Linked DNA regions of Rattus norvegicus. Each later gene encodes a partner of the first gene's protein in a complex. Links are inferred from orthologs where the notes say so. Each region holds a gene or a part of one and is shown on either strand. Other genes may lie near its edges. The genes, in order: Smarcad1 and Trim28.

What was found.
Region 2: the proteins of Smarcad1 (region 1) and Trim28 are in contact, whole or in part, in a crystal structure (PDB 6H3A), measured with the Homo sapiens proteins. The link is inferred for Rattus norvegicus from reciprocal best matches to the Homo sapiens genes SMARCAD1 and TRIM28. Residues at the interface, in NP_001362784.1 of Homo sapiens: Asp156, Leu157, Ala160, Lys161, Gln163, Thr164, Glu167, Leu168, Phe169, Asp188, Gly189, Ala190, Ala192, Leu196, Ala201, Gly202, Gly203; in NP_005753.1 of Homo sapiens: Arg330, Trp333, Thr334, Lys337, Ile338, His341, Leu376, Lys377, Ile379, Val380, Asp381, Val383.

What each region holds. Positions count from the first base shown.
Region 1 is NC_086022.1:95,648,241-95,652,049, forward strand, and holds part of Smarcad1 (SWI/SNF-related matrix-associated actin-dependent regulator of chromatin subfamily A containing DEAD/H box 1), read left to right. Parts: intron 1-1,413; coding exon 1,414-1,591; intron 1,592-3,716; coding exon 3,717-3,809. UniProt on the Homo sapiens protein: DNA helicase that possesses intrinsic ATP-dependent nucleosome-remodeling activity and is both required for DNA repair and heterochromatin organization.
Region 2 is NC_086019.1:82,723,544-82,727,889, reverse strand, and holds the start of Trim28 (transcription intermediary factor 1-beta), read right to left. Parts: upstream 2,996-4,346; 5' UTR 2,713-2,995; coding exon 2,367-2,712; intron 2,078-2,366; coding exon 1,965-2,077; intron 1,742-1,964; coding exon 1,609-1,741; intron 1-1,608. UniProt on the Homo sapiens protein: Nuclear corepressor for KRAB domain-containing zinc finger proteins (KRAB-ZFPs).

The DNA.
Region 1 (3,809 bases):
ATGATTATAATGATCGTTACCATGGTTCTAAAATTTTAGAGAATGCTAATTTGGCTTCCAGAATGGGGCAGGGGTGTCAGAACTACTCCTTTCTTAGATGTGTAGGACGTGCCTTTTTATTCTTTAGTTTTATCTACAAGAAAGTGATAAGCTGTGTATCCTACAGGGTTATTAGGGCTGAGTGCTTAATAATCACTTAAAAAATTATTGATCAGTTACTTTTATTTTTATTTAACTTTAAAAAGTTGATTTTTTGATAGTTTATACATGTGTGTAATTATTCTGACTGTGGTCAACAACCTCCCATCTATTTCTCAGCCTTAGCAACCTCTCTCCACCCATGCCTACTAACTTTTTTCCAGATTCATGACTGTTGGTTTTATTCTGTGAACTATTTAGTTTAGCCAGGACTACCTGTTTGACTATTGGATTGGAGCTCTCCATTGGGGCCTAGTATCATCTAGTGGTTACCTGTCTTCCTGAATCTGTGTGTGTGTGTGTGGAGTACCAATTATTTTTATCTTTTGGGTTTGATTTGTTTGAGACTTAGAGTTGTAGGAGAGCCGGGTATATTGGTTTATGCCTTGTAATCCCAGCACTTAGATGCTAAAGCATGTGGATTCAGGGATGTTATGACTTGAGGATAGGGAGATGTTTTCTCAAAGAAAAGAAAAAAAGAAACGTTGTATAAGCAATGGTAGGGGCATCTGCTCCAGTCTGTCACTCTTAGTAGCTTGAGGAATTCCTTTAATGTTTTTGATACCTTAATTAATTTTGTGTTCTTGCAGAGAATAATTCCTGGCTGGATAAGCCTGGGTGCAGCAGATTGAGGTTTATTACAAGACACTGTTAAGCATGAGCTAAGAGGTTGCTTGGGTAGAAACCAATTCAGAACTTAGGACATGATAGTTGATTGGGGGGTAACTGTAGATTTTGGAAGCTTTGGGAATTTTCTTGTTCTGTAGGTTTAGAGGCACATTCCATCTCTTTCTTTCTATTCCTCTCTTAATAACTGAGATAGATGGCTTTATCAGTGCAATTAGTCAGATAGGATAAAACTAAGACACTAAATTTGTACAAGGGAGTTAGAACTTTACTCTAAATCTCTGGTGAGATTTCTAAAAAACTTGAAGTTTACAGTTGGGAAGAGAGAAAGCCTTAAGCAAAGGTTGAGTCTGTTGTAATTCTTGGTTCTCAGTTGTGGAGAAGCTTCAGCGAGGCATTAGGGCCTTTTCATGTCCCCATAGTTTTTCCTCTCCTGTTCTGTGTCAATGGAAAGACATTTTGGTTTTAAGACAGAAACAATGCAAGGAATTGGTGATTTTTTTTTTCTTTTTTTAAATAATAGCACATGAATGAAGTTAATAAAAATTTACTTTGGTCTTGCTCAGAATATCTCTTTTTGTTTTGCAGAAGATTCTAGTGTTCCAGAACCTCCAGACAATGAAAGCAAAGCAAGTTTATCATGTTTCCAAAATCAAAGAACAATACAGGAATATATTGATTTATCATCTGATAGTGAAGATGTTTCTCCAAATTGTTCCAGTACAGTTCAAGAGAAAAAATTCAGCAAAGACACAGTAATTATAGTGTAAGCCATTTCACAGTCAGTTATGCTTATGCATGTTAGTTTTCAGAAATAACTAATTTGAATTATTTGTGTGATTATTTTGCTTTTATTCATCTTTGTTTTTACTATTTTTCCTGTCTTATGTTTTCTACAAAATGATTATTTATAAAGGTTTAGTGGGAAAATTGTGATATTAACTTCTAAAGATAAGGAAATGATTTAACTAGTACTGTTAATCCTCTGTAATTTCTTTGTGATTTGTTATGGAGTCTAGGAGCAAGTACCTAGCAGTTCTGCATTATGATCATATTTGTGTTTGTCATGTCTCTTTAATTTCATTTATTATGAATTATATCTCAGCATGTGTTTCACTATAACTCTCTTTAAAGGTGCCAGTCAGCTTTTCTTAGGATATCTTTCAATTTGAATTTTTCTGCTTTTTTTTTTTTTATGATTAAATGTAAGTTTAGTGGAAGGATCTACAGAAATGATCTTGTGTCCTCATCATGTCATGACTTAGGAAGTACATGGTATCCTTTTGTCTGTCTTTGCTTATTTCCCCCCCCCCCCGATGAGCTACCATTTTTCCCCCTTTGTGATGATTAAACAGTGTAGAGAGATTTTTCGGGATTGGGTAGTGCCTATGTCCATTTTTATCCTGTTATCCTTGCCTCTGTTGGTAATGCTAATTATAAAGTTGGGTATTTTGACTGTCATTTTAGAACTTATACTATTACTAGTTTTCTACTATTCAGAAATTTTACCCTTTTCTCCTCATTTACTCATTTATTTCCATATAGAGTATAACAAATGTCACTATAGAATATAGATGCTTATTTATTTATTGGCTTATGATTTTACACATTTTGATGAGCTAATTGTTCTGTCTAGTTAGATAATGACCCCTGTCAAGTAGGCTTCTGTATCTGGTAAGGGAATTACATATTTTGTGTCTCATTCCCTTTTGGCATTAAAAAATTTCAACTTGGATGTTTCTCAACCTTAGGCCTCCAATTAGAATGAACTATAGCTCAGATTTATTTGAGTAGGAAAGGGAGTGAGTGGTATTTTAAAATTTGTTGACTTGTGTTCTTTGCTGTTATGTGAGGTAGAGTGTTATGTTATCTTTCAAACCAAATGGCGTAGGTTCCTAGCCTGGGGAAGAAAAAGAAAGAGAAGAGGCAAGATGAGGTGGTGGTACAAGCCTATAACCTAAGGACTTGGGAGGTGGAGGCATAAGAAGCAGGAATTCAAGGCCATCCTTAGAGGCCATCTAGGCTTGTTGCTGTGATAGAATTTGTGCTTCCTTGTGCTCAGCTTGCTTCCTCATCTGACATGGTCTAGGATCCTTGGGCAGGAAATGATCCTGCCTATAATTAATGTGGATCTTTCCACATCAGGTAAGATGATGAAGATAATTCTTCACAGGTCCTCCAGAAGCCTTCCTCTCAGCTGATTCTAGACATGTGTTAAGTTGGTGATTAATACCATCTTACTCTGTCTTAAAAGAAAAAGAAAGGAAAATTAAAACGTAAAGGTGAGAGACACAGAGAGGGCGTTCTAGTCTTAGAGCATGTGTTCTGAGTGTGTGTATTCTACTCTTAGAAAACTAAATGTTGACAGATTTGCTTGGGGGATAAGTGAGTAAAGTTTGCTGTAAATGTTAAGCATAGCAGAGGGGAACAAGACTAAAATGGGTTATTATAGTATAAACCCTCTTGTGTAATATATCCCTTGTTTGCTGAGATGTTATTTTCCTTGATAGCCAGTAGGACCTTTCTGATAATTCTATCTCTGAGATCCAGATAATTTAGCTATTCAAAGAAATATTTTGTATCTTTGTATCAGTGTACATTTCATACTGCCTCAGCATCATCTAGCATGCTGAATCCTGACAAAAGTTTAGGAAGGAGGTGAGAAGTTTGGTGACTGTGTGTAGTTACATCAGTGAGAAACAGACACTTCTTTTTTCCTTCACGGTTGAAATAATCAGAACTTTTCCAATTTTATATTTGAATACCTAACAGTGTTAAGATGGTAAAAATTCTTTTCCTTTGACATATATTGATTATAGTTAATTCCTGTAAATGACAGAAAGCCTTTGCGGAATACATTAAAATTGTGTTTTCCCATGTGATATTTGTAGTTCAGAGCCATCTGAAGATGAAGAATCCCATGACCTTCCTTCTGCTACACGAAGAAATGACATCTCAGAACTGGAAGACCTTTCAGAATTGGA
Region 2 (4,346 bases), on another chromosome or scaffold:
ACTTATTGTTAAAAATACTAATCGTATTATCAGCACCCAGGAAACAGAATGATCACAAGTTCAAGGTAAGCTTGAACTGCATATGGTGAATTAAAAAACAGACTTGTTGGACTGGAGAGATGGCTCAGCGGTTAAGAGCACTGACTGCTCTTCCAAAGGTGCTGAGTTCAATTCCCAGCAACCACAGGGTGGCTCACAACCACCAGTAATGGAGATCCGATGCCCTCTTCTAGTGTGTCTGAAGACAGCTACAGTGTACTCACATTCCTAAAATCTTAACTTGATTCTACAGTGAAATGCTCAAAAGTCCTGAGTCCCAGGACTCAGGAGGCAAAAAAGAAAAAAAACAAAGATCTGACTTTGAGACCAATCTGATTTGCAGTGAGTGAGTTACAGGCCAGATGGGCTAGTAGGAACTATATGCTGAGCTATCATCTACCTATACAAAAAAGGCCTTGTGGGTCACAACTTTAAACCTAGCGCTTGGGGAGGCAGAGGTAGGTAGAATCTCTGCATGAAGGCCACCCTGATTCCTGGCTTAGTGAGTTAAAGAACAGGATTATATACAGACCTTGCCTCAAAAATAAAAAAAAGTTCTAAGATAGCCAGGGCGTAACAGAGAAACCCAGTCTTGAAAACAAATGAACAAAAAGGGCGGGGAACATGCACATTCCAAATGCCTATTTTAATCCCAGCACTTTGGAGCTGTGGGAGGGGCATAAAATGTTCAAGGGAAAACCAGGTGGTACACACCTTTAATCCCAGGGGAGAGGCAGGCAAATCTGAGAGGCTAGCCTCCTATACAGAGTTCCAGGACAGCCAGGGCTATACACAGAAACTGTCTGGGGAGGGGTCCAAGGCTAGCCTGAGCAGTGTCTCACCAAAATAGAAAAGTATGGACTGACCTATCAGTCCCTTTTCTCCCCGATGCTATTCCAATTCAGGCTGTATTAACCAAGCCCAAACTACATACCACTAGTAAGAGCAGTCCTCTTCCTATCACTCCTGACTTCTCACACCGGCCTTACAACTGCCTTCTACTACTACCTTAACAATGTCCTTCCAAGTAGGAAGAAACTCACCATCACATCAGAGTCAGGACCAAACCCAGAAAACAAGGTATCAATCTGACCATAAGCTTTAGTTAGGAAGATGCTGAAGGCTTGCTGCTGAATTACTCCAGGACTCACCCTAAACAATGGCCTAAGAGTCTTAACTTGTCAAGAAATTCTCCCTGTTCAAAAGCCCTTTTTCAGCAGCTAAAGCCAGGTGCCAGAGAACATCCAAATCCAAGTCACTTCATCTTGCCTTCATTAGCTGCTTATGCTAATCGACCCACCACCAGGACCTACAACCTTCCCCTGGAGACTTCCAAGATGACCTTAGTTGAATCCCTAGTATTGACTTGTAGCAGGTGTTAAATAACCCTACACATCCTCTACCTGTGGCCTTTCCCTTTCCACCTAGACCTCCAAAGTCTGCTCCAGAACCAAAGCATTTTTGAGTTGTGTCAGGTTCCTAAAAAAAACACCTTGTCCCATCCTGCAAGTATGCACTTGAGTCAACCAAGAAAGGGCAGTTCCAACAGCCTTCAAATCTTCAACATACCCGTGGAGCGCACAGTGTGATCCTTGGTGTATTTCACCCGCTGGTGAGCCTCCACACAGGTCTCACACAGTGGTTCAGAGCACTCCACACAATAGCTAGTGGCTGGGGCGTTATCTTCACAGCTAGTGCAGCACTGTGAGTGAAGTAAAGGCGGGGGTTAGAACAGGCAGAACTATCCAACGGACCTCTATTTACTTCCCAGAAAACACAAACTAAATTTTACATAATGCATTCAAATCTGTACTACCCTTCCAGAGACTCAGACTGTTATGAACATACTATCCAAACTAGTTAAGCTGGTGAGATGCTTCAGAAAAGATGCCTCCCTCTCTTACAAGATATCCCAAAGGACATACCTGGTTAGCATCCTGGGAATCAGAAGAGGCCTTACTGCCACTATCACGCATAAAGTAATTCTCCACGATGTCTTTGGAGTAGCACTGTTGTTTGCACACTGGACAATCCACCACTGCCAAGACAAGAATGTGTGAAAAAACTAACTGCATGCTCACCTAAGCTATGCCCCCAACTCAAAAGTCGAGCCAGACACTCGGCTTTCTTGACTCCTACCCCACAGTCTGCATCTCGGTGTCCAGACCTGGTAACCGGCATTGCAAGCCGCCAGCACCCGTTCCCCGCCCCCTCTTAAACCAGCAGGCCTACTTAACCCTACCCGGGCCCCCATACTCTCGCACAGGCGCAGTCCCGAGCACGGGCTTCAAGGAGGGGGGAGGGGCACCTGGCCACCCAGTACTCACTAGCGCCGTCGCCCGCCGAGCCGCCATCCCCCGAATTATTAGCTGCGGCGGGTGTAGCGGGGCCAAGGCAGGCACTACAGGCCGAATGCAGACAGGGCAGCAGCCGAGGATCCCGCTCAGGCCGCAAGCGCTCGCGACACACGCCGCAGTGCTCCAAAAGCTCCTGCGCCTCGCCACCGCCCCCCGCAGGGGACGACGCGGAGGCCGAGGCCGCCGCGGCTGAAGAGGCAGCGGGGCGCTTCTCACCGCCCGCCGAGCCTTCGCCCGACCCTGGGCTACCAGAGGCCGCTGACGCGGCCGTCGCGGCCGAGGCCGCCGCAGTCGCCGCCGCCGCCGAGGCCGCCATTCACACGCCGCCGGGGGGTTGGGGGGGCCGCCCAGGGGAGGAGGGGCACCGAGCCCGCTGCGCAGGCGCAAGTGCGCTCGCCGCCAACGGCCAGGCAGCCGCCGATGCCGCGAGGCCGAGCGCCGCCACGCGTCTCCTGGGCCGACGCCCGCCGCGCCCCAGGCGCTGCCGAGATGCGGCCAAGCCGCTGGCTGCCGGCCTCTCTACAGACGACGGCGCCGCCACCCGCGCCGCCTCCTCCCTTGCTGCTGAGACTCGCGCCGCAAGAATTGCGAACAACCGCCCGACCGCGCGCCGCTCGCAGAAAGAGCCGCGGCCTGGAGGCGGGACAGAAATATCTGGCGCCGACGACGTCGCGCACGCGCGTTGGGCACCGCAGCCTGGGGGCGGGGCGCAGGCAGATTACGCACGCGCCAGGGCCCTCCCTTCTACTCGCAGCCGCCCCTCTAGGTCCAGGATAGCAAGACTACCGGTAGGAAATTCACCCGCGGAGTACGTGCGTGATGTCTCCCATGCCCACCGTACAGTGCACCGAGGCTTATTCCTCGCGTGCTGGAAAGCGCGAGTCGTGCAGAACCGTACCTTAGGCCCCGCCTCCTTAGCAGGCGTGGCGACGTCCGCAGCCGCAGCTTGGCCTATAGTCCGCGAAGAGGGGCGGGACAATCCGAAGAGGGCGGAGCCACGGCTGAGCACAGAGACCGAGCCCAGGTGGAGGGGGTGAGGGGGTCTTTGGCAGGAAGTTCCCGCCGAGCGTGGAGGCGGTCTTAACCCAAACTTTTTTTATTGTTAAACTCGGGAAGCGAAAAGTTGTCCAAGTCAAACCGCAGATCACAGAGAGGTACTGAGAAACCATTCTGTAAAATTCTGCCCAGTCTTTCGAAAGCCTCTTCTGTTTTAGTCCTCTGCTATTCTGGTTTTAGTGGGTTTTTTGGAGGTGGAAGAACTGAACATCTAACGCGAAGGAATAAAAGTTGGATCTGAGTGATGAATCTCATCTGAGGGAGAAATAAGACCTGGGGAATAATCTTGCATGAGGAGCAGGACCTTGGCTGAAGAATTTGATTTAAGGAAAAGAATAGCAGGATCAAGAGCGGTGAAGCGGTTCATCTCAGATGCAGGATCAGTGTTAAAAAGGCAACCTGTACCCCTTGCCATTCTACTGCCGTGCTGAGTGGATGCCTCTGCAGCCTTGCAGTGTACTGGGTACGGTCTGGGTCTGGGCTAGAGTGAGTTGCCCACAAGCAACTCTAGGGTTCTCAACAAGAGTCTACCTCCTCCGTGCAGAACCAGGTGTTCACCCACGTGGCAGCGGAGAGGCGAGGAGTGTCCCGCCACTGTCCCGGGTGTGGCCTTTGTTCCCAATCAAGCTGGGGGCCCAAGGTTTTGCCCCGCCCCAGCCTTTGTTCCTATCTCGGCAGTTCTGCGTTCACCATTCGGCGGGCCACGCCCCCACCAGACCCAGCCTCTGGACTCTCACTTCTACCTCTGAAAAGGATAGTATAATCTGGAAGCTGAGTGCGGGCTTCCCGTAGAAATATTTGCGAATATTTTCACGGCCCCACGGACTGCTGGGGCCAGACTCACCAGGGTAGGGTGCCTGTGAGCCAAGCCTACCTAAACCCCGGGAGCAGACT